Linked DNA regions of Diceros bicornis minor. The protein of the gene in region 2 interacts with the protein of the main gene of each other region in a pairwise test. Links are inferred from orthologs where the notes say so. Each region holds a gene or a part of one and is shown on either strand. Other genes may lie near its edges. The genes, in order: YWHAE, NDEL1, zinc finger protein 772-like and TRIM27.

What was found.
Region 1: the proteins of NDEL1 (region 2) and YWHAE interact in a two-hybrid assay, tested with the Homo sapiens proteins (2 studies listed by BioGRID). The link is inferred for Diceros bicornis minor from reciprocal best matches to the Homo sapiens genes NDEL1 and YWHAE.
Region 3: the proteins of NDEL1 (region 2) and zinc finger protein 772-like interact in a two-hybrid assay, tested with the Homo sapiens proteins (2 studies listed by BioGRID and IntAct). The link is inferred for Diceros bicornis minor from reciprocal best matches to the Homo sapiens genes NDEL1 and ZNF17.
Region 4: the proteins of NDEL1 (region 2) and TRIM27 interact in binary tests that used the Homo sapiens proteins (3 or more experiments, as listed by UniProt). The two-hybrid records come from large-scale screens. The link is inferred for Diceros bicornis minor from reciprocal best matches to the Homo sapiens genes NDEL1 and TRIM27.

The regions. Positions count from the first base shown.
Region 1 is NC_080757.1:16,307,899-16,315,127, reverse strand, and holds the start of YWHAE (14-3-3 protein epsilon), read right to left. Parts: upstream 3,006-7,229; 5' UTR 2,915-3,005; coding exon 2,851-2,914; intron 1-2,850. UniProt on the Homo sapiens protein: Adapter protein implicated in the regulation of a large spectrum of both general and specialized signaling pathways. Binds to a large number of partners, usually by recognition of a phosphoserine or phosphothreonine motif.
Region 2 is NC_080757.1:10,012,652-10,020,295, forward strand, and holds the start of NDEL1 (nuclear distribution protein nudE-like 1), read right to left. Parts: upstream 3,290-7,644; 5' UTR 3,127-3,289; intron 1-3,126. UniProt on the Homo sapiens protein: Required for organization of the cellular microtubule array and microtubule anchoring at the centrosome. May regulate microtubule organization at least in part by targeting the microtubule severing protein KATNA1 to the centrosome.
Region 3 is NC_080781.1:29,855,495-29,862,224, forward strand, and holds zinc finger protein 772-like, read right to left. Parts: upstream 2,195-6,730; coding exon 617-2,194; downstream 1-616. UniProt on the Homo sapiens protein: May be involved in transcriptional regulation.
Region 4 is NC_080753.1:37,907,853-37,915,813, reverse strand, and holds the start of TRIM27 (zinc finger protein RFP), read right to left. Parts: upstream 3,254-7,961; 5' UTR 3,019-3,253; coding exon 2,599-3,018; intron 1,348-2,598; coding exon 1,252-1,347; intron 1-1,251. UniProt on the Homo sapiens protein: E3 ubiquitin-protein ligase that mediates ubiquitination of various substrates and thereby plays a role in diffent processes including proliferation, innate immunity, apoptosis, immune response or autophagy.

The DNA.
Region 1 (7,229 bases), about 6.3 Mb from region 2:
GGGAGGAAAGGACAAAACGAGCAACTACTCCACAAACCCAAATAGAGTTTATGCTACCCCTCTACTCTCAAAAAATGTGAAAAGTACTCATCTTTTTTCCTGCTATATTCCCAACTTTTCTGTATTAATGTGATTCAGATATATGGGAAGGTTAAGACTTAGTTCAGGACTGCTTAAAGGTGATGGGACTTCCTTAATATGGCTACGGATGATACAAAAACTATTCCTTAATCTACTGACTTGTTAAGGGTGAACTCCTAGCCTCAAACTTCAATATATCCCATCCACCACCTCAAACTGTCCTTTTCCTGAACAGAGCTTAACTCTTCCTCCAGTACCATTAAATAATCCACATAAATTGATTCCAATTCCCCAGAATAGAGTTAAACAATACAAATAAGGTTCAACATACCATGCAAAACAAAAGATAAAGGTACTGCAGGAACAAAGAGAAAAGCCAGCATTTATACAAAACCAAATCATTCAAATGCACTCTCACCTTCTTCCATTCCCCACACCTGATAAATTGTTTGGTGACTAAAACTATGGGATCACTTGGCACAAACAAAAATGAATTATTGCACCCAATAAAGGAGTTGACACAGGCAGTGGCTGATTCCTGAGGAGTGTCTTCCTCTTCTTCCTTTCCAGTGAATCCCTATCTCATGCCCAACAGTCACTGGAGTTCCTTCCCACCTGGCAGATCCTTAAGGAGACACCTAACGTTTACACAACGTAACGAAATGGCTTTATCTAAAGAGTCCTATGTTAAATAATGAAGGCTTTGGTCAAAAAGCCTCAGCACTCAACACCAAAATATGATTATCACTAAACTGTCACCTATTTGGGAGCTACAATCATGAGCTTCCAAGTCGGTTTTTAAAACAAGTTTAAAAAAAAAAAAAAAACCTTCCTCTACGCCCTTTTTGGTTATCACAGCAAGTTTACTAAAAGGCTAAAATTCTACAAAACAGAAAGCACTCAAATATAATTTCATGTTTCCTCCCAAGGGCACTGATAGATTAAGAGGTGAACCTATTTGGGGCATGATGGGGAAGAAGAAAAAAAACTTCCATTATGAGCATTTGTTTGACTTCTAAACACTGAAATAAAGACAAATCTGACCTTGAGCTGTACTTCCCCATCTTATTCCCCTCCCCCTGCCCACAGGAACCTTGTTCAATACAAAGAGTAATTTAAGGATTTACAAAATGAAATTTAGTACAGTACCTTTCCTAGGTTTCAGTTCGAGGTCTTTTCTCTTAATTTTCAAATTCCTGAATCCTAATGTATGATGATACAGAGACCAGCCCTGAGGCTATTCATATGACCAAACTGGCATCAAGGAAAAAGCCCTACATAACATTTTTAAAAAGAAGCTTAGGTAATTAAAAGAAGTCTAAAGATCTATAGCATTTGATTCCAACTATGTCTCACCCTACAACAGCATTAAAACCACAGAAGCACATACATGATTTCTTGTTTTTATAATACTACAGTTTAAAGGATGTGGAAGTAATTCAAGTACCTAGGTCCAAAATGGGGGGAGGAGCAATTAAACAAAGCAGCCTGGGACTGACTAAACAGACACTACACACATTGAGATAAAGTTCTCAAAAATGACTAAAGAACCTCTGGGGCAAAGGAGCAAAGAAAAACTGTTCAAATCTGTACCTCAAATCTCTTATTTAAAATGGAAAAAAGAAAATAGGATCTGCTGGGATCCCCTACGTTCATAATCCAAAAACCCAAGCCTCAACTGAGGGCGTGGGATTGGTTAAGATCCCCAATGAACGGGCACTCCCAGACGGGTGACAACCAAAATACAGTTACTCAACGTTATCTGAAATAACTTTATTTTTCAACAGGTCTTTCCATTGTCATAACGGTGCGTGTAAACAGGAAAGTCATCATTTTTACAAACTGGCAGACTGAGGCACAAGCATGGGAAAGGGACCAGAAGTCATGGTCTCCTTGTTTCCTGTTCAGCGTTCTATCCACCAGAATCCACAGCTTATGGAGCCAGAAAATGATTACAGGACCTTCGAGCTCTCCGGGATGAGTCCGAAGAAAGGGAGCGTGAGTGAGGTCCTTCCAGACCTCCGCCAAAAGACGGCGAGGTTGAACGTAAAGCCTAAAAGCCCCTCACTCCAAGGTGTGCCGGCCTACGGGAAAGAAATCCGATCGCAGCATCTCAGCTGGCCTCCGCCCAAGGATGAAGTGCAGTGATTCCCACTCTCCCCTTACCCCACCCTCCTCCAAGACTGCCCCCCACCACAAGCCCAAGGAACCCCTCTGCTCGCAAAGGTTCTCCTTTGTGAGACTCCACAGCCGCCGCCCCACATTGGGCCTCCAGAGAAAAGCCACCGCCCCCACCCGCCATATTTCCCTGAAAGGCGCCCGCGCTACAGCTCCCGGTCGCCACTCTCCCCCATGTGGCGAGTGTTTCTTCTTCCATCTCCCCACCCAATTGTTTTCCACATCCCAAGACTAGCCCAGAAGCTCCCCTGAGGACTGCTCGCCCGGAGACAGCACCCGCCATCTCCTCCCCCTCCCCCGCCCCGGGACTCGCCCTCCCCCAAGCCGCCATTTTACAACCAACTCCTCCACCCTATGGCCTCGGCCTCCTGGCTCGAGAGTGTCTGCAGCTGAGGACGCCGAAGGGGTCACATTCCTGGGCCTGGAGCCTCCCACCGCTCCGGGAGCCCACAGGCCATTTCCTGCTTCCCGAATCCACATCCCCGGGCCAGGCTCGGAGACGACGCCGCCATTTTGTCTCCTGCTCCTGGCCTCTGTGGGCGGCGGCAGAGGGTCCGAGAATTCCAGCCCCCCGTTGCCCCCCCAACTCACCGTCGTATCGCTCAGCCTGCTCGGCCAGCTTCGCCTGGTACACCAGATCCTCCCGATCATCCATAGCGGCAGCGGCTCCGGCAGGGTCTGCGCGACGGATGGAAGCGGATAGCGTCTCCGACTCTCTCAGCCTCTCGCTCCGCGTCCGGGCAGCAAAAATGGCGGCGCCTCAATCCGGGACTTCCGCCTGCGCACGCGGACAACTGCTCAGCTCTATGGCAACCGCTCCCTGGCAACTGGCGCGGGGGGCGGGTCCGGGAGCTCGGCGCCCTAAGAGACTGGAACCAGCAAGACGCCCCTCCTCCGTGGGCTCAGCGGGCGCCAGAGGGCTGAGGCGGGAACTGCGATTGCGGAGAGGGAGAGCAGCCCCGAGGGAGCGAGGGACGCCAGAGGCGAGGCTGGCTTGGACAGCTCCTGAAGAGAGTGAGCGAGAGAGCCTGGGCCCTGAGCGAGGGCGGACGCCTGACTGGGGGCAGAGAAAGCCGGAGGCTGTAACTGTTTTTGTAATGGCAGGCCTTCCTCACTGAAACCACCTTGCTCTCTCTCCTACTTTGCCCTGTTTTCTCAGCCAAGCCCCATCCTGGGCCTGTTTAGACCCTTTTGACCCCAGGTAAAGAGTTGGGACCTGCTATGGTTGGTGGGAGAAGGGGGCTCCAGTTTTCACACCTCAACTTCACCCTCGCACTTCGCCATCTTTTTTTTTTCCTGCCCTTTAGCTTTCTTTTTCCCCTTAGGCCCACCATGGATAGGAACAGGGAAGTTGTTCAAGGAGCCTGGTCTGGGGCTGGCTCCGTGGCTTAGCGGTTAAGTGCATGCGCTCTGATGCTGGCGGCCCAGGTTCGGATCCCAGGCACGCCCCAAGGCACCACTTCTCCGTCCAACCTGAGGCCGAGTCCCACGTACAGCAACTAGAAGGATGTGCAGCTATGACATACAACTATCTCCTGGGGCTTTGGGGGGAAAAAAATGAATAAATAAAATCTTTAAAAAAAAAAAAAAAAGGAGTCTGGTCTGGAGTGCAAGGTGCAGAAGAGTGAGACGAAGATCAAATTAAGATTGAGGAGACAGGAAGGGAAATTGCTTCACACAGGAAAGAAGCTGTTTTGCTTCCCAATGGATTCCTAGCACCTTGTACTCAATACCATATCTGTTGCAAGACTGAAGCTCAGGTAACTAGAACATAAGCTGTGTGGTGGGGTCTGCAGTAAATGTAGAATAAAAAGTAGGTTGGAACCTAATTATGAAGAGCCTTGGATGGCAAGCTAAGAAGTTTGCACCTTATTCAGTGGGCACAAGCTATTTTTTGATGATTTTGCATGGAGGATGACACCATCATAGTTATACTTTAGAAAACTAATATGTTGTACAGAGCAGTGATTAAAGAGGAGGATAAATTCTCAGGCTATACTACAATAATGCAGGCAAAAGGTAATAGACGGTAGCAGTGAAAATAGGAAGGAAAGGACAAACAGGAATAGTAAGTACTGCAGACGGAAGCCAGAAGAGTTTGTAGCTGATCAGATGTAGAGATCTTGTGAGGGGACAAAAAATTAAAATTGACTTTCCATCTTCCCACCTTGAATCACTGGGATACTGAATGGCAATACCATTAACAAAAAGTAGGAATACTAGGAAAGTTTGGTGATGGAATGCAGAGGAAAACACGAGTTCCTTTTAGCACATGTTGGTTCTAAGGTTCTCAAAGATCTCACAGGTAGAAATAACCAGCGTGGAAATGGAAAGGTGGACTGGCATTCCAAACTGAAGGGAGGCTGCCGTGGAAGCAGCTGGAGAGTGTGTAGAGGTAGAAGAGGACCATACACAAAACCTTGGAAAATACCTACTTTTAAGAGATAGGTGAAAGCAGAAGAGCCAGCAGAGGAGACTGGATGGCTCCTTACTGCATTCCAAACTAAGCCCCTTCACACTTGTAACAAATATTAAATTTCAATGGTAAAAGACTGAAAATCAAAAACTTGGGTTCTAGTCCTAATTCTATAACTAAATAAATGTGTGACCTTCAGCAAGTCATTTCACCTCTGAGCTTCATGTTCATCTGTAAAGTTAAGGAACTGAAGACCATATGTTACGCCATAAAACAAGTCTTAAATATTAAAAGTTGAAATCATATGAAGTATCTTGTCCTACCACAATGGAATGAAGCTAAAAATCAATAACAGAAGGAAAACTGGACAATTAACATATATGTGGAAATGAAATAACATTCTTAAATAACTGATGGGTCAAAGAAGAAATCACAAGGGAAGTGAGAAAATACCTTGAGATGAATAAAAACAAAAACACAATATACCAAAACTTATGAGATGTGGCAAAAATGGTACTAAGAAGGAAATTTATAGTGGTAAATGCTTACATTAAAAAAGAAAGATCTCGGGGCTGACCCGGTGGTGCAAGCAGTTAAGTGCGCATGCTCTGCTGCGGCGGCCCAGGGTTCACTGGTTCAGATCCCGGGTGCGCACCGACGCACCGCTTGGCAAGCCATGCTGTGGCAGCATCCCATATAAAGTGGAGGAAGATGGGCATGGATGTTAGCCCAGGGCCAGTCTTCCTCAGCAAAAAGAGGAGGATTGGCAGATGTTACCTCAGGGCAGATCTTCCTCACAAAAAAAAAAAAAGAAAGAAAGATCTCAAGTTAGTAACCTAACTGTACACCTTAGGAACTACAAACAGAACAAAGTAAACCCAAAGCTAGCAGAAAGAAATAATAAAGATTAAAGTGAAGATAAATAACATAGAAAAAAAATCAACAAACCAAAATTTGGTTTTTTAAAAAGATTAACAAAATTGAAAAACCTTTAGATACATTGACTAAGAAAAAAAGAAGACTGACTAAGAAAAAAAGAAGATTGACTAAGAAAAAAAGAAGAGTCAAATTACTGAAATCAGAAATGAAAGTGGGCTGGGGCCAGCCTGGTGGGGTAGCGGTTAAGTTCACACCTTCTGCTTTGGTGGCCTGGGGTTTGCCGGTTCAGATCCTGGGCACGGACCTACTCACCACTCATCAAGCTATGCTGAGGTGGCGTCCCATATAGAAGAGCTACAACTCTATAACTATGATACACAACTATGTATTGTGGCTTTGGGGAGAAAAAAGGAAAAAGAGGATGATTGGCAACAGATGTTAGCATAGGGCCAATCTTCCTAAAAAAAAAAGAAAGTGGGGACATTACTACCGACCTTACAGAAATATGGATTAAGGGCCAGCCTGGTGGCATAGTGGTTAAGTTTGCACGCTCCACTTCAGCGTCCCAGAGTTCACAGGTTCAGATCCCGGGCACGGACCTACTCAATGCTTGTCAAGTCATGCTGTGGCAGCATCCCATATACAAAATAGAGTAAGATGGTTAGCTCAGGGCTAGTCTTCCTTAGCAAAAAGAGGAGGATTGGCGATGGACATTAGCTCAGGTCTGATCTTCCTCACCAAAAAAAAAAAGAAAGAAAGAGAAATATGGATTGTAAGGGAGTATTTTTAACACTGGTACGCCAATAAATTGGATAACAAATGAAATGGACAAATTCCTAGAAAAACACTGTGACATCCTGAAATAATAAGAAATAACATATTTGGTCTTTGTCCTTGGTTCCTGGAATAGAACTCCTAAAACTCTTGTAATTTCCCCAAGTGATAGGGGTGAGGAGTTTTGTTTGTTATTTACAATAAGCATCTTTCAGTCATACCTGAGTTTATGCTAATGAGGTGACTCTTGGTGTTCCCCTAGATAGCATCAGGATGGGGGCTGGTTGCCAGAGGAATCAAAGGTGATTAGAGGATTAGAAATTTCAACCCCACTCACCCAACTTCTGACCTCCAGGGATGAGAGAGAGGCTGGAGATTGAGTCAGTCACCAATGGCCAATGACTTAATCATACCTAGGTAAAAGAACCTCTGTAAAAAACTTAACGGGGCTCAGAGGGCTTCCAGGTTGGTGAACACATCCATGCCAGGAGAGTGGCACATCCCAAACCATACAGGGACAGAAGCTCACTCTGTGTGTTTCTTCATCTGACTGTTCATTTGCATTCTTTATAATATCCTTTATAGGGCTGGCCCCCTGGCTTAGCGGTTAAGTGCATGCGCTCTGCTGCTGGCGGCCCAGGGTTCGGATCCCGGGCGCGCACCGACGCACCGCTTGTCCGGCCATGCTGAGGCCGCGTCCCACATACAGCAACTAGAAGGATGTGCAGCTATGACATGCAACTATCTACTGGGGCTTTGGGGGGAAAAATAAATAATAATAAAAAAATTATTAATATCCTTTATAATAAACCAGTAAGAGTAAGTAAAGTGCTTCCTTGAGCTCTGTGAGCCATTATAGCAAATTATCAAACCTGAGGAAGAGGTCATGGGAACTCCTGAT
Region 2 (7,644 bases):
AGCCTTTTGTGTGAAACTTCTTGAGAATCTAGTTCTATTTCTTGTATCCTCCTTGTTCAACTACTTAGTTCAGTGTCAAATAATTCTAGCAAAATTATTTTAATATGTGTTTTTATTTTACACATGCTTCTCTATTTTCTTGATGAATCTTATGTGAACTGAATGCTGACTGCAATTTTTCTAATTTACAGGCTACTTCTACAACTTGCTCATTGGCCCTTCAAACAATATTATAATCTGTCAGAAACCTATTACTAAAATGACCATCATCTTTTCCAGAACAAAGCAATTAAAAATATTTAACCAGGGAACAAGTGGTAGGAGCAGCATGGCACAGTGGTTGAGAGCCCAGACCCTGGAGCCAAACTGCCTAGGTTTGAATCAGACTCCTCTACTCACTAGTTGGGTGACCTTGGGCAAGTTACTCAACCACTCAGTGCCCCATTTCCTCATCAGTAAAATGGAGCTAATAATTAAAATAGGGTTGTTACGAAGATTAAGTGAGTTAATATTTGTAAAGTACTTAGTACAGAGCCTGGCATATAGTAAAGACAGCATAAATTTCATTAAATGATAAAAAACTGGTAGTTCAGTCATGGACCTTTGAAGTATTACCACAAAATAAATGTGCTTCAGAATTTATAATATATAAATGAATCCTTAAAATTAATCACTTCTGGAAGCTATATGCATATTCCAGTGATAGCACCATTACTGAAAACATTTCTAAAATTTCTTTTGGTGTAGTCTTGAAGAGCCCGATTAAAAACTAAACAAAAAGTTCTTTCTTTGTGGTCACACCTCATTTTTACTGCTTCCTAATTGGTATTATCAAGCTTTATCATTCTAATTTTATTCATCAGACTTATCCTTTCCAAAAATCAGATTTTTTACAAATTTTCTACCACTGCAGATATCCAAAAGACCTTTTCATGGGCTGTAAAGACAGTCTGTTCAGTTTGCTTCAAGTTACAGTGGGAGGATGTGTTCACTGTGTTATCTGAAACTATGTAACTGGAGATATTAAGGCTATAGAAAGTTAGCCAATACAGAAAACCATACTGCTAAAAAAAATGCTTTAATGATACATCTACAATCTTCTGAAGCTGAAATGAAGGCAGATAATTAGGTACTCTCCCCTGCTACCCAAATCTTCCCTCCATACCACGTCTCATATGGATGGAGTGTGCATCTCAAAAGTGTGCTGACTTTTACATGGGCTATTATCATACTGTATAGGACTGCCAGTTATCTAGCAACTGACAAATCCACTTATTTGGGTATAAAACAGCCTGTCCAAAATGCTGTATTTACAAAGAAACTACTCTTTGTGCAATGGTAAGAAAATCCATTTTATATGATATTGCTTCTTGTTAATAGTTGTAGAATGGACTAATGAGATTAAAAGAGTTCTCTTGGAACTCACTGTAGGTAATACATACCTTTTTACCAAAATTCTTCTACTTCTCCCAAAGGTGATATTTACAGAATTTTTAACTTTTCAAAGCCCATCATAAATATGGTCTCCCTTTTTGTCCTGACTGTCAAACTTCTTTTTCTACCTTATGAAGTGCTCAGTAACTTATGTCAGAAGTAATTTTAAGCTTTAGTAACCAAATATATCTCCACATGGTTTAAAATGAGAAGAAAAATAAGTTTTACAGATGTCATGAAAGCAAGATGTACGTTTTTACTGAGGTTTCTACTTATCTTAAGTGTTCCTTATCCAACTTCAACTTATTTAATTTAAAAAGTCAAAACAGAACTAAAAAAGAACAGTTTCTTAAGATTTAGCAATTTCTATCTGGGCTACGTCAACCTCTAACCAGGGCTATCCAAAGGTTTTCTTTGTTCTTTATGACCTCTAATTTTAAATAATAATTTTGATAAAAATCCACAAGAGAGATCTGGACTCAGTTCTCCTTTACTTCTCTTCAACCCAAGACTTAATGCTGCATTTTATCCCACCAACTTCATGATTTAGCTAAGCCATGACCCTATTTCATAAGTGGATTAAGAGCAACACAATATATCAGACAAAATAATTAGCCAGCAACCCGTGAACAAGTTTCAGAGTAGGATTTTTCTTTTAACTGAGTAGCAATTCTTATCCTAAGTAAGTCCGATCAAAAATATTTGAATAAATCTTCTACTAGGCTTCTGGTATATTTTTGGCAAGTCAGATTTTCTGTTTTGCTTTCTAGCTGAGACGAGTATAAAAATCCCACAAAGAGAAACCATAACTTTGAGCCCAGAGACGTAAATTCTGATCCAAGCGAATCCACTCACCAGTTGGCAGAATCCACAGTATAAATCACTTAATACTCCCCACCCCAGCCGGGCTCAACTTCCCCATCCGTCAAATGGCGATAACAGAATCAGGCACAACCACAGGATGATGAGGTTCAAAAGAGATAGCAAGAATGTTCTGAAATGTGTGAAGGCGCTACAGAAACGGAAGGTAATAATCAGTAAAGAACTCTCGCTTTCTTGACAAAACTTAAAGGGTTACTTGGTTGCTTACCAGCAAAAAAAGAGGAGAGCACAAGCAACCCGAACCCGTCTGGTGACACTTTTCTGAACTCCAAAACGGACGACTAGCAGTTCGGGGCGGGGAGTCACGGGAATGCCGTCGGAGCCCAACGTGGGCTGCTTCCGCTCTCGCCCGCCACAGCAGAGAAGCGACGAGAGCTCAAAATCCAACCTGGCTCCAAACCACCCTCCCGGCTGAAGGGCTGGGGGGAGGAGGCGGAGGGCTGGGCGCGCCGCTGCCACCTCCAACTGAGCCACTCCTTGCGCCACCAGAGCCCCGGCCCACGGTGCCACGTCCCGGCCTCCGTCCCGGTCGTCCCTCACTCCACCCCCGGACGCGGCACATCCTCCGGAGGCGGACCGGCTCGCCCCCTTCCAGGTGGTGGGCCACCCCTGGGACCGGGGCGTGGAGGGGGCAGTTAGAGCGGTTGGAACAGTTGCCCCCGGACTGGCCGCCCAGAACCTTGCCCCGGCCCGGCCCAGCCCGGCGGGGCCTCAGACACAGCCCCCGGGCCCGGCAGGCTCCCGGGGACAGGCCTCGGCGCCACCGGCCCGGCCCGGTCCCTCGGGAGCGGCCCCGCACTGCAGGCTCACCTCCAATGTGTCAAAAGCGCATGTTCGCCGCCGTTCGACCGACGTCTCCGCTCCGCTGGCCTGGCCAGGCCCGCCCAGCCGCTCAGCTCCGCTCCCTTCGGCAGCCCCGAGCTCCACTCCGCGCACCTCCGCGCCCAGCTCCTCCCCGACACGTCAAGGGCTGCCTGGGTGTCCGAGGCCATTCTGTGACGCACGGGGGCGGGGTTCCGAGCATGCGCGCGAGCGCGCGGGCGGCCAGGGCGGGGCTGTGGCGAGGATGGCGTCACAGGGGGCCGGGTCGGCCCGGCGCGCTGACGTCAGGCTGGCGGCCGCCTCTGCGCAGGCGCCCCCGGACCTCGAGAAGTGGGGGCGTTCGGTTTTCGAGGTTCCCAAAAACTCTCTGCTGTTCCGGACAATGGCACCACGCTGGATGAGACTCTGCCTCCCGGTTTTTCAGCCACCAAGGTCTTTCAGGTGTCTGTTTCAGTGTTCCCGTTTATAAAATGAATGTCGGCTCAGATTTCACCTCGAGTCTAACCTCAACCACCCTACGAAATACCAGGGGTGTTCTAGTGCCCTTCATCCCTCTCTCTCAGAAAGACCGTTTTACGGCACTTAGACTAGCTGGAAATTTTATACTTGTTTTTGTCTTCCTCCAGCAGAATGTAAGTTCCATGAGAGCTAGAACCTCCTTTGCCTTTCTTGTCCAACAGATAGCTTGCTTGGTTCTGGACACAAAATGAGAACTCAAATATTTGTTGAATGAATGAAAGGATTCGTTGAGGGCACCAAGAGAATATAAATATCCATTTATATATTTTATGTAGCTAAGCTTATATTTATTTATTTAAGTGTGTGTGTGTGTGTGTGTGTTTTCATCTCCCTGGGACTCCTAAAGAATGGAATCCATTTTATAGGACTAGGAATTCATTTTATAGTCCAGGGAACTTGAGAGGGAAGAGGGCTGAGGGGGGAGTAGCTCAGAAAGGGGAGAAATGAGGGTGGGCAACTGCTTAGGAAGTGGAAACATGAAGGAATAGAGCTGTTTTAAAAACAATTTTAGGAACTTCTGCTGTGTAATGCACAATGTAATTCTCTCTGAGGTCAGTGTTTTTGGGGATTGGATTTGTGGGTTTTGGGGACACAGTAATGACTTGTAAGGCCTCAAGGTGAGAGCAAGGTGAGCCTGGGAGGTCCAGTTAGATTTTTGAGGAAATGGACGTAAATAGGAACAATGTAAATGGGTTGTAAGAGGTGTCCAAATCAATGAAGATCAGAGACGTGATTAATGGGGTTTGTGGGAAGGGTGGCACCTTGAGCTGGACTCTGAATAATATAGGGTTGAAAAGATCATGATAATAATAATAAGAATAGTTCACTTTTGTTTCATCTGTGTGTACTGGCAATTGTGCTAAACGCTTGGTTTGCAGAATTTAATCCTCACAACGACCCTGTGAGATAGGTACTGTTGTTATTCCCATTTGACTAATGAGGAAGCTGAAACTCAGCAAGATGAAGTTGCCTAAGGTCACTCAACAAGAAAAAAGAGGACTCAAGATTCAAACCCTCCTAATCTGGATTGTCTAACTCCAGAAACCACACTATTGACCACTGCTATACTGCCACTCAAGAAAGGGGACTATTAATAATAACTACCATTTATTGGGCTGGAGCACTGTGCTAAGTGCTTTACATACATTACCTCCCTCAAGCTCACAAGCAGCTTATGAGGCTGAAATTATTACCTCCATTTTATATATTGGAAAACTGAGGCCCAGAGGACGTGGGGTTTAAACCTAAGCAGGTCATATTCCAAGCCCAATGACCTGGGACATCATGGAAGCTCTTTTAGGCTCTGGGGCTCTGCTTCCCTGGCCGAAGCTGTGCCCTGGCCGATGAGATCACAGGCAGAGAGATGATGAGGCAGGAAGGCTTTCTTGTGAACCTAGTGCCAAGACAGAACAGTCCCGCCTCAAGAGGGAAAAATAAATAAAGGCTGCAACCCTGGTCCCTGCCTCCTGGCTGAAGTCCTGGGAAATACACTGAGTCACCTAATGGCAGGCCAGGCCCTGCAGAAAATGTTGACGTCATCTTCCAGGCCACCACCCCTCCCACCCAGCCTGGACCCAGAACTGGTGTTTGTCGGGACTGGTATGTCGGCCCCATCCTAATGAATGGGCTTTGCTTGGCAGGGCCCTCAGAGGTATCAAAGCCCTATAATTGATCTCCTTCCTCTGTGTTGGTTGAGCTTTCTCCCAAGTAACAGCCACCTTTGCCCCATTCCCTGCTTCCAGGATGCCCATCCAGGGAAAATAAAGTGGAAGTGAAGACTAAAGACAGCCTCTAAGGGGAACAAGAGTTACAAAATCAGCTTTGTGAAGGTGGAAAAGGTGGGTGAGGGTTGCCCCAGCCTCTCCCTTCATAAACCATTAAGAAGGGGTTTGCTGAGGCCTAGGTCCCAGTACAGGATCTTTCTTGGATTGAGCGCAAGGGGTCAATGTCACAGTCCCTGAGAGCACGCACAAGCATCCCAACATCCTCCCTGCCACAAACTCTGAGACTCAGGAAACAGAGGCCAGGTTCCACCACTGGGGGAGGTGTGGGTTGACCAGCTGACACCAATGCAAACTCTAGCTAATGAGGATGCTGGACTCCAGCCCACCACACTCACAAAAGGTGACGCCGTGCACCCAAGCCTGTCATGAAAACTCTGAGGAGATGGGGCATGTGTAACTCTCCACTGAATCAGGTGAGCAGACACCTGAAAATCAAAGGTTTGATTCAGCCCAATCTCTCCGTATTTTTTGGCCAGTATTTTCTGCTAAACTTTAGGGGCATAGATCAGGCTGGTTACTAATGGCCTGCTGTATATGTCCACCAGATGTCCCACCACCACCTCCAGCTCTTCATGTCTAAACCCCAAACAGATTCTCCTTTTGCCCCAGTTGAAATTTCCAAAATGATTTTCATGTTTCTGCCAATGGTGTAATCACTCCCCTGGCCCCTAAGGCACGAAGGTCTTGTCAAATCACCCTTAATTATCCCCTTCCCAGCTTTCATTTCACTCACATGGCCACCAAACCTGAAAGACTTGCCCTTCATAACTCTGTCAAATAAATCCATTTACCAGTATTTTCCCCCTAAATCTTCCCAGTCCAAAGCCTCCTACTTGTCTGTCCCTCCCTTCCCAAACTTCTCTCCCTCGAATTTCTTCTACTTTCAGCATAGTAATCCACACAGTCATCAGAATAATCTTGCTAAAATCTCACTGTGTACAGAGCATCACTGGCTCCAGAACTTGTTTTGGCATCCTGTTTCCTTTTGATAAAGTACAAACTACAAAGTCAGGCATTCCAGGCCCTCCAAAGCAACTCCAACCCACTTCACCTATCTGTGTCTGACCAGACCCTCCACTTGTCCCCCAAATGGACAGCTCCCTTCCTCTCTGGGCCTTTTATTGACTCCCACTGCCCTGTGCACTACAGCTGCTCCTAGGCTCCCTGGCCAGCCTGCCCCTCTGCCTTTTGAAGTCTCACTCATATACTACCTCCTCCAGGAAGCTTTCCCTGATACCTAACGTGAGTGCTCCTTCCTGTGAGCTCAAGTAGAGCCCCCGCATAGTTCACAGGAGACTTACTGAACACAGCCTTTTGGTCATGGAGGTGTCTGAGCTTCCCCAAGGAACCAAAGCCCGCTGAGAGCAGGGACAGTGTTGATTGTCCTAATATCCCCCAGCAACAGGCACTTAGCAAACATTTGTTTAATATGCTTCAATGAAAGTGAAAGAATGAATCAATGGTTTGGTGGCTAGAACTCCAAATGCAAGATTGACAGCACTTTCTGGAAAATGCCCCAAATTCTGAGAAAAATTACCATATAGAGACAAGATTTTCCCTGGTATGAAAGGCTGAACTTAGGTGATACCAAGTTACAAAGGAACCAGGATTGGGGTCCTAGGCAATTATGACTTTTCTCTAGCCCAAATCTTAAACCCAGTCTATAGCACCTACAATCCCCAAAGCAACATCTTTTCCTTTTGTAATAAAAAATAGTAATAATAATAATAGTTTTTTTCATTTAAAAAATTACACACTTGGACCTTGAGGTGAGAAGTGGTTTTATAGAGAGAGGAACGTCATTCATCAGCTATGAGTTTAGTGTTTGCTCTGTTGTAGGCCTTGGGGATTCAACCATGTAACTATAATAAAGCATACCCCTCCTCCACCCTCTAACCCCACCCCCATGGAGTTTATATTCTAATGGGGAAGACAGACTATAAGCAAGTAGACAAATTTATTTCTGTTAGGTCATGACAAGTGCTATAAAGAAACATAACCAGGGTAAGAGGATGAGGTGTGGCAGGGGCTGCTCCCTGAGTGAAAATAGGGCTTCATGTTCATGGGATTCTTCTCCGTAAAATTGACAAGGCCCTTTCTTCTTTTTTTTTTTTTTTTGTGAGGAAGATCAGCCCTGAGCTAACATCCATGCCAATCCTCCTCTTTTTGCTGAGGAAGACTGGCCCTGGGCCAACATCTGTGC
Region 3 (6,730 bases), on a different chromosome or scaffold from region 2:
CACAGAGTCAGTACTGTCCATGGAAGACAGAAACCTCTGAAAAACTGCAGCAGATTCCAGCTCAGATCTTTTCAGCAGGAGCTGGGCCAAGTCCACACTGAAACCATCGGCAGGGAGGGAATGAGGATCCCCAGTGGGTTCAGATCACTCATGATTCCCTCCATGAAGGAGGAGAGAGAGTAGAGGTCGGCCATACCTGAGCACACTGGGGTGACTGACACACAGTGTGGGGCCCTGACTGCTGGTAGAAGTGGAATGGTTTCCACAACAGACACTGGTATTGACATAACTCAGGCCAAGGAAAGGTCCTGGGAAGGTTAAAGAATGTAAAGTAGCTCTTGAAAACTTCCCACATACCTGGCACTTGCTGTTATCTCCCCAGTGTAGATACCTGGATGTATGAAGTTTAACTTTTGCTTGTGGGCTCCATCTCAAAGGCTACTTTCACACTTTTTCTCTTTTATGAGTCATGCAATGTTGAGCAAGGAGAAAGCACGTTCCCTGCTCTCTTAAGGCCTCTCCAGTGTGAAGGTTGTGGTGCTAAATGAACTTAAAAATGCAGCTAAAGGATCACCAAAACCACTACACTCACAAGGCCTTTCTCTGGTGTGAACTTTCACGGGCCAAGCAAGGTGAGAGGGTCTTCTGTAGGCTCTCCCACATTTGCTGAACACATAAGACCTTGCTCCGGTGTTACATCTCTGGTGTATAATGAGGCTGAAGTTGCCACCAAACAATTTTCCACATTCACTTTACCCACAAGCCCAAGAGCTCTGGTGTGAACTTTCTTGTGTCGAGTAAGGTTGAAATTAGTGTTGAAGGTTTTCTCACATTCATTGCATGCATAAGGCTCTGTTCTACTGTGAATCTTCTTATGTCTTGAAAGGCAGGAACTGCGGCCAAAGAATTTCCCACATTCATCACAATTATAGGGCTTTTCTCCAGTGTGGATTTTCTCGTGCTTACCACATGCAGTTTTACGGAGAAAGGCTTTCCCACATATGCTGCACACATGAGGCCTTTCTCCACTGTGAATTTTCCAGTGTTGAGTACACGTGTCTTTTCGGGTGAAGACTTTCCCACATTCAGTGCACCTGTAGGGTTTTACTCCACTGTGAATTCTCTGGTGTTGAACAAGCTGGTATCTTTTGATAAAGGATTTCCCACATTCAGCACACTTATAAGGCCTTGATACTGTATGGCATCTCTGGTGTACTTTGAGGTTGACTTTGTGGCAAAACTTTTTCCCACAATCACTGCACTTATAGGGTGTTGTTTTGAGGTGAGCTTTCTTGTGTAATATAAGGTAGGTTCTATGGCTAAATAATTTCCTACATTCGCTGCATTCATAAAATGTTTCTCCCATGTGGATTTTCTGGTGCTGAACAAACTCATCTTTGTGGCTGAAAGCTTCCCCACATATACTGCACTTGTAATCCCTTTGTCCAGTGTGAAAGGCCTCCTCACACTCAGCACTCCCGTATGGCTTCTTCCTATCATAAGTGGTATGGTGCTGGGCAAGTCCAGAGCTGGCCAAGAAGTCCTCCCCACCCTCCCTGAAAGTGAACACCTTCTCTGACATTTGGCTCTCAGAGCTCTTCACAGACGAGGGCTGGACATTTTCCATTCTAGGGAATATCTCTCCACTCTGCTGCTTCTGGATTTGGTCAAGGTTTACACTGAACCAGAAGGCTGTCCCACATGACTTACATGGATATGATGGCTGCCCAGGGGATGTTCCCTGATGCCCAGCCAGACTCAAAATGTATTTCAAGATCGGGTCACACATTTCACATGGGTGGCTCTTTTGGATCGAAGGACCCACCTCGAGAGTTCTCACCTGTGACACTCCTACAGAAACACCCTGCTCAGAAGATGCATCTTCATCTTCCACTCTATGCCAACAGCCAGTTTTAGGGCTCGACCGGATCATCTCTGCCTCGGCTAGAGCTGTGTCTTCCTTGTCAGGAACCCTGAGCTCTCTCTCTGGCATGGGTTGGGTAATCTCAGAGTATCTGGAACTTTCAAGTTTCACTGAGATCACCAGTCCAAAGTTGTCCAGTATCACACTACAGTATAGGCTTTTCTGAGCCTCATCAAGTAGCTCCCACTCCTCTTCGGAGAAGTACACGAGCACGTCACTGAAACGCACAAACCTCTGCACCGAGTCCATCTGTGCTGCTGCCTCTGCCATCACCAAGGTACCAAGCCCCCGAGAGGGGGCGGCCCAGCGAGCGCCAGCAAACACGAGGCACAAGGTCGTCTGCACCACAGCAAGGTTGTCTGCACCACAGCAAGGTTGTCTGCACCACAGCAAGGTTGTCTGCACCACAGTCACGCGCACCGAGTCTCACCGATAGGAAGTAAGAACTGGGGCATCACAGCTCCTACAAAGCATGAAGGTAGGTCCCAACCTGGAAACTGTCCTCTGTTGGGTGCAGAAGAGCCCTCAGGGAAGCAAACTCTGCTCGGTGCAGAAGAGCCGGCAGGGAAGCAACCTCCGCCCGGCGCTCCCGTCCACGTTTCTGGGACCCGCAGGAACAAAAGAGCTCGTTCCAATGCGCCGGAGACCGGAAGTCCCGCCCCGACGCTGCCTTATAAAGATTTTATTTTTTAACCCTGGAATGTCTGGCTTCCTTAGATTGGAGAGAGGAAAGGAGGATTCGGCTGGCAAAGATGACTTGAGGTAATTTTAAAGTTCGTAGTTCTGAGCTTCATTCAAGTCCATCCAAATGTTTCCATTCCAAATTTCATAGTCCTGTTTTCAATCCGACCTGCACTTAATAATAAGTGTTGATAATATGAATCGGTTTTTTTTACGCGTCTCGTTGTTGCTATATAGTGTAGCTATTAATTTTTTTTTTCTGTGTTGATCTTGTACTTAGGTACTGTTAAATTCTCTCTTTAGTTCTAATTGTTTGTTGGTTGATTATCTTGGCTATATAGATGATAATATCCTCTGCAAATAATATTTTATTTCATACCTTTTAACTTTTACATACATTCTCCACTTATTTTTTTGTCTCGTCTTAGTTCAGAGGATAGAACCTTTAGGACAGTGTTGATTAGTAGTGGTGATAAGAGGTGACTTTTTAATCTCTGAACTTAAAGTAAATTATTCTAGACTTCCCATCTTATACTGTACATATATTTGCTGTAGTAATCTGATGAGTACATTTATGAAAATTCTTTGCCAAGATTTTGTTTTATCATGAATGATTGCTGGATATCATTCAGTGGTACATTGACATATGTTCAGTTGATTATATATATTTTATTATTTAGATATATTATTTTAGTGAATTAACTTTGTTGGTAAATTTTCTTAAATTGTGCCATCCTTGCAATCTTGAGATTAAACCCTTGGTCATGATGTCATTATTATAGTGAAGTGTTGATTGTGATTTACTGATACTCTATTTAGAATTTTTGCTTCTGTGTTTATGATTAATATACTTTTTACTTTCTTGTACTTTTCTGTCTTGGGGGCCACAGTCATTGCTAAACTCAGAAAATGAGGAATTATCTATTTTCTATTGTCTGTATTGGAACCGTTTTATACAATTGAAATTAGCTTTTTAGAAAGAATGTTTAATAGGTCTAATATCTTTGTGGTTGAAGAAATTTGATTACCCTTTCTTTGATTTTATGATTTTCTTCTCACTGGGCTGCTTTGGTGGTTTATATTTCCCTAGAATTTTTTTTCCTATTATCTAGATTTTCATATTTATTCCTAGAATGTTGATCATTGTATTATATTATTTTACCTTTATTTAATCTTTTTTCCAGCTTTATTGAGGTATAATTGGCAAATAAAATTGTATATGTTTAAAGTATACAATGTGAAGATTTGATGTATGTATGTATTGTGAAATGATTACCACAATCAAATTACTTAACACATCCATCACCTTATATAGTTATCTTTTTTGTGTGTGCATGGTGAGAATGCTTAAGATCTACACCCTTAGCAAATTTCAAGTATACAACACAGTATTATCAAGTATGGTCACTATGTTGTACAATAGATCCCAAGAACTCATTCATCTCATAACTGAAAGTTTGATGCTTTAACGAACATCTTCCTATTTCCCCCACCAGTGTCTAGACCATCTAGCCACTGGCAACTACCATTCTACTGTCTGTTTCTATGAGTTTGACTTTTTTTTTTTAGATTCTACATATGAGTGAGTATGTACAGTATTTGTCTTTCTGTGTCTGGCTTATTTCATTTAGCCTAAGATCCTCCAGGTTCATCCCTATTGTCACAAATGGCAGGATTTCCTTCTTTTTTTGTGACTGAATAATATTCCATTGTATAAATACGTACACCATATTTTCTTTATCCATTCATCCACTGATGGACATTTAGGTTGTTTCTATATCTTGACTATTGTGAATAGTGTTGCAATGAACATGGGAGTGCAGAAATCTCTTTGAGATACTGATTTTCTTTCTTTTGGATATATACCCAGAAGTGGAATTGCTGAATCATATGGTATTTAATCATAAGTAATAGATTACTTAATAGTTACCCATTTTTCATAACTGATGTTTATTTAAACCTTCTTTCTCTTTAAAAATAAAATCACACTAGACAAAGTTTTGTCTTATTATTCTTGTAAAAAAATTTATCTATCTATTGATTGAATCTATGGTTTTATTTATTTTTTTGTCATTTTGTTGACTAATTATTTTCTTCTATTTAGAGTGTTTTATTTTCTTGTTCTTTTCCTACCTTCTTGCAGTGAAATCTTAATTCATTTACTTTCGGGCCTTCTAATGTTCTAGTAAATGCAGTTGAGGTTAACTTATCCAACATCTCCCTTTTGTTGTTGCGTTAGATGAAACACTCCGGTTTGAAATGCAGTGTTGTTCATTATGGTTTTTTTTTTTTTAACAAAAATGTTGTATTTTCTGTTTTGAATTCCACTTTTACCTGCAAATTATTCAAACTTGTGCGTTTAATTTTTCAAATATTTAGGTTAGTGTGCTGTGTGCATTACCTTTTTGTCATTGATTTTTCTATTATTATTTTACTGTATTTTGTTTGTGACTCTTGTATGGTAGTTTTGGGGAAACTTGAAACTTTATTTTTGCTGTTATTCACATTTGTGTACATTTCTGCAAGTGCTTGAAAATAAACTCTATTCCCTCATTTGGGTACACATATAATAGTTGTATTAGCTTAAGGCTGCTGTTGGGTTATTTGCATCCTTTACCCAGTTCTTTGAATTGATGGTTTATGAGATACATGTGTGACTTTTTTCCACTTTTGCTTACTCCTTATAGTTCTACTAAATTTTGCCTAACTAAACTTAGAATGGAAGGTTTTACTTAGGGGTGACTTATCCAACATTGAGTTTGTTTTAAATCTTCACCATTTAACAATAGTAAGATAACTAAATCACCCCTTAGGTTGCTGGTCTCTACTAGTCTCTGTACCTGTCTATTGTTCATTTCAGGTTGCGTCCTTGTTTCCTAATTTCCAATCCCTCACAGACTTTTCCCACTCCTCACACTTCCTCTATCACTAGTCTCCCCCAAATTAGCGATTATTTTTTCACTTAGGGAAAGTGGAAAAGTAGGGGGGAAGCTATTAAATTTTTTCTACTGGTCATAACTTCTCCTAAATATATTGACTCTGAATAACAATTATTCCTATTCCTCTGAATCTAGTTGTTTGAAATTATAAAGACAAAATTTAATTATTTTAATGTCCCCCTCTTTCCATTTCAGCTGACTCACTCACAATGGTCATCTGAGTGAATAAGTTATAGTCAAAGGGTTGAAAGAAATATCTAGAATGAGAGGAAATTTGTTTGTTTCTTCTTAAATATAATTCTGTCACTTTCCTGGTGCTGATTGCACTGTTTCTTTTTCATGATCTGCTGTCTCTCCTTCACTCCTTCCTCCTGCCACAACCCACAAAATCAGGCACTTTGAAGAATAAAAAAACTTTATGACCTTTATCAAAATGAAGGAGATTCACCACACTGATCACTGAGCAGAAGAAATTGTGAAATTGAACTTTTAATATTTTAAAGCCATTTGGAATACAGTTCACATGAATGATTTTGTACGATGCACAAATCGGGGGAGAGATGATGACCCTAGAGAATTTGCACTGACAGCCACAGGAGGAAGACATGCGGGAGTAATTTTTAATTGCATATTTAATTGACCTTGTAGGAAAAAGAATCTCATATTTTGTACTGAGTACAATTACATAAAGATTTGAAAATATTATTATTCAAAAAAGTTACTCAGACTATTTTATGGTATTATTAGGATCATATAATGTCTATACTCTGCCTTGTTTTGACAGTGCTAAGACAACCACCATCCTGCTTTAGAGCAGAGGGGTGGAAAGTGCTTAGGAGATAGAATAAAGCATACCTTCTGCCAGTATTTTTAGTAATTGGTAAATAACTTTATCAAGGACTCTCTGAAAAGTTTTCTGACATCATTTTGAAACTATCAGATTTATAGTTAATATAGCTAAGATATGTAATTTTAAGGTGGCTTATTGCTTTTCCAGCCGATTGGAATTAATGTAATTTACAGCCAAATAAGAGCAGTAATTTTTCCACATGTTTTCACTTTGGATAGAGCTAAAGAAATTGCTGTTTTAAAGGATGAATATGTCTTTTTTTCCCCCCAAAGGCACTTGTCCTAAGAGCCTTTTAAAGACATCTTTTAGGGACTAAAAAGATAGCATATTTAGAAA
Region 4 (7,961 bases), on a different chromosome or scaffold from region 2:
TTCTCAAAGGGGGTGCTACTGGCACTCTGGTGGGGACAATTCCGCCTGGCATGGGACTGTTTCTTGCATTGCAGGACATTTTGCATCCTTGCTCCACCCTCCCAGATCACTTGATTCCTCAGGTGACAACCAAAGAAACACCCACGCATCACTGAAGGGGAGGAGGAGAGGGCAGTACTAGCCTTGCTAAAGAATCACAAGTTTAGTCCAACCTATCCATTTCACACATGAGGAAACTGAAGCCCAGAGAGGCTGTATTACTCTCTCCATCTATCCAATTGGCTAGTGTCAGAGCCAAGAAGTATGTCCAGGTGCCCTGATTCTCAGAAAAGGGCTGTGTCCCCTCTTTGCCAATCCTCCCACAGAAGACACAGCTGTGCATAATGATTCGAGTCAGGCTCACTGGGAAGATTCTCCATCCATCAGACCTATTTTCAAGCAAGGGGATCTGAGGCCACAGCGGATCGTGTGGGCAGAACAAGTGGTGGGATGTGAGGGCATCATGAGAATAAGTTCCCTGTCCCAAAGTTCTTTACTCTGGCCACGAATGACAAAATTTCTCACAAGATGATTCCAGACACTACTAGTCTAAGAGTTTGCTTTTCAGATGCAAATACCTCTAACAGGTAGGAATTTGTAATATTTTTTGTCCAAAAAATAATGCTTAAACACCTAGGTGGTGGATATATGAGTATTATATTATAAAAGCCTCTGTCCTTTTTGGGTTTTGTTGGTTTTTCAAAACAAAATCCCCAAATATCCTGATCACAAATTAGTGTATCAGCTACTTGCTAAGGCCTTAGGAAACTAGAGGAAGGGAACAAAGTGAAAAGTTCAGAATTGAAGTGTTGTCAAGAAAGCGAACACTCCAGCAAGAAGCAAGAGTGGCTTATGCAAAGCCACTGTCAGCAACTGTCTGCAGAATGGTACCAAAGGAGGCTAACTGTACCCAAGAATTTCACCTGTATCAGCTTTGTCAAGGATCAACCCTGATCTGTACAAAGCTAGCAGGTTAAACTTTTGATAGGTCAGATCTCCAGGGGTTCCAACCTTGGATCTTCCATCCTTTCCCCAAAAATGTAGGAATCCTTTGGTTCTCCAGGTGAGTTCGCAACTGCCATATGGAGTTGTTCCACCTGCACCCAGAAGTTCTAGGTGACCTGGCTGGACAAGGTTAAAGAAAGTAACAGCCTCAAAAACAGGGAGTGACCAGCAAAACCGATATTATCTGTGAATTCCAACGACCCTTACCAAGAGTTCAGCTCGTGCCTGCTCCCCCTGTGCCCGACGCCTCTTCTTTAAGTCTTTTACTCTTTTTAGGTGGTCCAGCTGGTTATGGATTTGCTCCTGAGAAAAGCAAAAACAGTTGGGCAGTTCAAGATTAGGCAGCCCTTTGCATCAGCATGGCTATTCTGCTTATCACATATGCAACTCACATGCCAAGTACCTGGTTAGATCTTGTCCTTGGACCACACTGCTATCACCAGAGCACATGGGTCACCACACCTCTCCTTTGGTAATTTGTGTGTATCTTAAATGCTGGGTCACCTACTTATCCTTGAAAGGATACTGAATGGCTTAGTGGAAAGATGACTGAACTAGTTAATGTTAAGTTAATGTTAAAGAACTAGTTAATGACTAATGTTAAGTTGTAGCTCTGCCACAGAGGCATATTGAGAAAATGATTTAACTTCTCTTATTTTCCTCATATGTGACATGCACAAACATCACCTTCCCAACTACTCAAGGGTTATCACCAGTGTGAGTAAAACAATATATTTGAAAGCACTGTTAATCTTACGTGATTAATTATGCAAGAATGTACTCACATTTAAACATATACATAATTGTGTACATATTCCTTCAGCCCTCAAATACACAGACAATAACACAGCATTATGCACTCCTTGAATGTTGCCTTACAACTGTTTCATATTTAATACTTTGTTTCCACATTATTGTTCAGCTGTGCCAGTCTGTCGGTTCAACAGTTCACAAAGGGCTCCACACATCGTTTTATTTCACTTAATCTTCATAATAACTGTTTTATTTCCTATGAGTTTCAGAGTGGTTAAATGACTTAAGCAGGAAAGAGCTCTGTTCTGTTCCGTGAGCTTCTAGAACAGGACGGAGCACAGGGAAGCGCTAAGGAAATGCTTATAGACTAGATGATGAGCATCTGCTTGAAGTGTATACAGCCAGTTAACGTCCGAGTGTGTTTTGTCTGACATCATCTAGAAGCAAACAGGAGTACGAGCGTCTCTGAAGCTTGTCGATGCGTACGTGGTTTTACTCACATCTTTTATACAGTCAAGGGGGGTCTCCAGGGGCCGTCTTTATGCATATATGCCCGGTAAACACAGGGGCACATAAGGAGACTGGGGGTGGGGAGACTTCTGGCTTCCTCACCAGCTACAGGTTTTCCTCCCAAATCTGAGTGCCGAGGCTCTGGAGCGGACAGAGAGGAAATGACGGCTGTGAACCACACGTCCGGCTCAGCCATTTTCTAGGCGGAAAAAAGGAAGCCCCTTTGGCTCGCTCTTCCCTTTGTCCGACTCGCGCTCCTGCCCCTCCCGGCTCCGCGCGCCCGGCCCTCACCTTGAAGCCCTCCACCGCCTCCTCCAGCGGCAGCACGCTGTGGCCGCGGTGCTCGCGGGAGCGGTCGCACACCACGCAGATGGGCATCTGGTCCTCCTCGCAGTACAGTTTCAGGGGCTCGCGGTGTTTCTCGCACACGCCCATCTCGCCTCCGGGCCCCGACGGCCGCTCGGTGCGCAACTGCTTCACCAGCTGGGTCACGTTGGCCAGGTGCCGGTTGGGCCGCATGTGCCGCTGCGGGAAAGTCTCCCGGCACTGCGGGCACGACACGTTGGTCTCCGCCGCGCCCCAGCAGCGGGCGAGGCAAGCGCAACAGATGTTGTGGCCGCAGTCGAGCATCATGGGCTCGGCAAAGTACTGCAGGCACACGGGGCAGGTGGTCTCCTGCTGTAAGCACTCGGCCACGCTCCCGGAGGCCATGGCGCGGGCCCGCGGGGGCGCACGGGCTTGGGCCCCGGCGCCCAGCTCCGCGCGGAGCCCAACTCGACTGCGCTCCCTCCCGTCCGCTGTTTCCGGGCGGCGCGGGGAGGCGAGCCGGGGTGACGGAGGGCGGCGCCTCCCGGGCCCGGATCCCAGACGCGCCCGCGCGCTAGACCCGCGGAGGGGCCGGGCCGCTCCCTGCGTCGCGGCGCCCGGCTGAATGACTTGGGGATGCTGCGGCCCCGCCGAGCCCAGCGGCTACGCGAAGGAGGCGCCGCCGGTCTGACTCGCGGAGCCAGGCGCTCGCAGCGCGCAAGACAACGTGGCCGCGTCCGAGCGGATCCCGGCGGCCGCTCAGACCCCACCCCGGCGCGAGCGGAAGGGGCGGCTCGGGGGGCGGGGTTTGGTCCGGGCCTCCCGCGCGCCTTACGGTTTCTTGGCCCCTGGGCCTGGATTGTTTCCTCCGGGAGCGCCGCCGAGAACGCTCGGGAGCACGATCCCCGGGACAGCTGTCACAGGCAGGCGGTGCACACGGGGCGCAGCGGTGACAGGGTAGCCCCTGCCTGCACGCTCCGGGCCCACCGCCGTTTCCGCGGCCCTGGGCCCATAGTCTTTTGTTGGCTTTCCTATCTGGTGCCTAGGCCTCAGCTAGGCGAGAGAAATGTGGCTTTGTGTTGGTATGGGAAGAGACATCTGTCCTCCCCAGTCGGGGGTAGCCGACTGAGCCCCATCCGGTCTGTGAGGCGCTTCATTAACTCCGTTTACAGGCGCTCGCAATTTTGTTTCAAAGGAGAAAGGCTTCATTATCAGACGGCAACATTTCTGTAGGACAGAAAGTGAGTGAGACAAGCCCAGTTCTGCTACTTCCTACTGTGCCTAAGCAAATTGGTTTTCCATTCTGAGCCTCAGTTTCTTCTCTGGTGAAATGGGAATAATTATACCCCAGCAAAGAGGGAAACTTGATTACATCTTTTACTTTTTAGCCATAAGGAAATTATCCTTTAAGTAATAAAATACCCACTGCATAGAGTTATTGTATCAAATAGGACCTAAACGTACTTTTTCCTTCCCAAAGTGTAGGGAGATTGGTAATCCCACGGTGACTCAGGCTCTTTTCATTATCCAGTAGATTTACAAATCTTTTGCGTTGCACCCTCATCCGTAGCTTGCTATTTCCTAGTTTCCTTTGCTATTTTTTCAGTATTGTCCGTCCTCTAGATTTAATTGGACAGCTTTGCTTTGCTTTATCTCTCAACTTGCCTCTGTTCATTTTAATTTTCATTACTACACTTTGATTTAAATTCTTTCGACAATGTCATTTTGAGAATGTTTTTTAAATGAGTTAGTAACTGGATGAATACAACCAGTTCTGCTAGTTTCCCTATTTCTAGTCTTTTCCTCTAACCTACTTATATTACACCTCAAAGGAGAGAATCATCCTTAAAACTTTTCTCAAAATGCTTCTTTCATTCTGTCACTTCTTACTGTAGGGGAGAAAGAGATTTCCTCTACCCTCTGGGTCCTTCTGGCTGGGGTACGAATTAAATTGACATGAGACAGAATAATAGGAGAAAATCAAACAAAACTTTATAACATGTATACATGGAGAGACCCAGGAAAAACTGGCTAACTCGCCAAAATGGCAGAGGCTCTCATCTTAAATACCATCTTCAGCTAAAGACAAAGGAGGATGTTGGGGGTGGGGGGAGTCAGCTGAGGGAGGTTACCAGAAAAGCACAGTAAACAAGAGTAAGGTTATTATGCAGATTTAAGTCTTTGCGTTCTGCATTGCTAAGAGTTCCTAGAGATAAAGTCATTCCCCCTTTTTCCTGGTACAGAGAGGGAGATACCGTTACAGATGGAAATTTCACTTACAAATATAGATGTTTCTTAAAAAGGGTAAATTCTACTTTTCAGAGCTTCTCCCATGTCTGCAGTTTTTAAAAGTAACCAGCCCAAAATAATCCTCATGCCAAAGAAACACATTTTGGGGTGGCCAATTCTGATCCCCCCCATTACTCAGAAATCTTCAAAGCTTCCTTTTTGCCTCCAGAACATTGTCCAAACTCTTGAGGATGGAGTCCAGTCTGAGCACTTCTGGCTGACATCTTCACTGTCCTCTTAACAGTGCTGCTAGCCCAGCCTCTGGCTCAGACTGTGCTCACCACAGTCCTCTTCAAGGCTTCCTCATGAATCCTACCCCTTCTTTAGAGCTTAACCTAATCAAGCTGGCCACATGGATCTCTCTCCTTTCCAATCAGCCTCCCGAGCTCACGCAGATCCTCGAATTCTGGTAGTTGGTTATTTTCTTAAGACTTTCTTTGGCTTTGCCTTGTGTGGAACCCTTGACCTGTCTGTCAAGGTTTCAAATCAGGGCATGCTTTTAGAATAGAAAGTGATTTGTGCACTCACATAGTCCAACATACCTTAGAAATAGGGAAACTGAGGTCAGAGGTAACTCCATGAGGACAGAGGCTCCTCTCCAGACCTTCTATGCTCTCCATTACACCTTGCACATAGCTCTAATCATATTGAAAGTGCTTAAATGCTTGTTGAATTATTAGACTAATAATTTGATGATTCCACTGTCACATTTTATGCATACGTTTTATCTTTATAACAGTTGTTATTTATTCCTTTGTAAAATGACAGGGGTGCAAACACCAATGCCTGTTAGAGACAAGAAGGTAACTTATGAGCAGGCCAGACCAGGGACACAATATGGAAAGATGACAACAGTGACTAATTGGAGGACAGACGTCCTTCCTGAGAGGCAGCTACTTTTCATCTCTAGCTGAAGAGGACCCCTGAGAATGTGGGCCCAGGATATTGCCAAAGTTTTAGATTTTCAAGGGACAGCATATACAGTGACAGATGGCAACTAGACTTTTGATAGTGAACACAATGTAGTCTATACAGAAGTTGAAATATAATGATATACATCTGATATTAATGTAATGTTGTAAACCAACATTATTGCAATAAAAAAATAAATAAAAAATGAAGCCATCATGAGCACACACAAGAAAAGAGAGAAGGCACAAATCTGGAGTTTTATGTGAAATTTATTGATTTTTAAGTGTTGGAAACTAACTAAAAATTGTAAAATCATCTTTGCAAGATGAAATTGGCTTCCTGACCTCCAGTTCAAGATTTCTGGTACAGCTATTTATTTTAATAAGAACGTTTCAATCTTAATGCAACATGGAAGGGACTGTTGTTGACTATTTTATACCCAATCTCCACTCCTTCCTTAGAATTTTATTCTAGATAGCAATATGACCAGCTAAAAGATACTTCCCAGGCCGCTTTGCTGCTAATACTGTGGTAAATTCATGAAGGCAAAGCTACAATATGAAACCTTGTCCAGCTGGTTATGGATGTAACCAGGAACACCCTCAACTCACCCAGCATTTCTATTTATTTGTGTGTGTGTACAAGAATGTTTATAGCAACTTTACTCACAAAAGATAAAATTGGAAACAACTCAAATATCCATCAATAGTAAACTGTATAAATAGTGCCATGTTAATACAACAGAATGATACACAGCAATAAAAACAAATGTACTGTTGCTACATGTAACAAGAGGGATGAATCTCATAGATGTTGTGTTGAGCTAAAGAAGCTAGACATAAAGGAGTTCATTCTGTATGATTTCAGTTATACAAAATTCAAGAACAGACAAAAAATAATCCATAGTGATAGAAGTTACCCTCAGAATGGGGATGGGGTGAATTAAAAAAAGGAAGGAGCACATGGGAACCTTCTGGGGACCATGGATAATTTATATCTTGATCTGAGCTATGGTTACATGTGTGTCTACGTATACAAAAATTCATTGACATAATGGGAGTTCCAGGGGAGATGAGAGCAAAAAAGGAGAGCAGAAAGAATATGTGAAGAAATAATAGCTGAAAACTTATCAAATTTGATGATAAAAAATCTTCACATCCAAGAAGCTCAGTGAAGTCCAAGTAGAATACACTCAGAGATCCACACTTAGACAGATTGTAGTCACATTTTCTCAATATATTCCCTTTGTTCCTTTTCAACCTGAAATTCTCACTGTTGACTGTTTTGGGGGGTGAGGGAGCAGGTCATTTCCAGTTATATGTCCTGTATTCAAAGACAGAGAATAATAATATGTGGATCTGAGATTCAGTATTTAAAATGAAACATTTACTCTGAAAGCAGCAGTTGGGCCCCACAGTGTGGATTGTACCATCACACTGAAAGTTCTATGATGCACTGTCACAACAGTCTTGTGCTGATGTATATCTTGTCCCTGGTCCTAACTGCCACTCTGTGCAGAGCCCAGCACTTCTTTCCTACTTCAACATGGTCCTGAGATTGTGGGTGGCCAATGATATCTATGTGGAAGTTTTGGGGTGGGAATTGTGAGAAAGCCTCTTAAAGGAAGCCTACTCAGTTGGGAAGTGCACCTTTTAACCTTCCCACTTCATACTTTTTCCAGCCTGGAATGTGCACATGTTGGTAGGAGTTCGAGCAGCTGTCCTGGACCATGAGGCAAACTTAAAGATGGAAGCCAGCACTAAGATGGTGTAGTGAAAGGTAAAGAAGACTGGGTTCTTACTCACGGCAGAGTGACTGTGTCCAAACTTCATATATGTGAGAGAAACTAAAGCCACTGTCTTGTTTAAGCTACTTATTGGATTGTCTGCATATGAAATAGAAATTAAACCTAACTGATAAAATACAGTTTTTATTAACAAAATATTTTATTTAAAAATAAATTCCTACCTACCCCTTCCACTCAACCTGTCTGTCCTAAGGGTACCAATGATTTCTAATAGTATTGGCTAAATCCAGAGGACACTTTTCAGTCTTCATCTTAATGTTTCTTAGGCATTTGACACTGTTGACCCCTCCCTCCTTGGACTGTTTTTTCTTCCGGGCACCAAACTGAGTAGGACCTGATG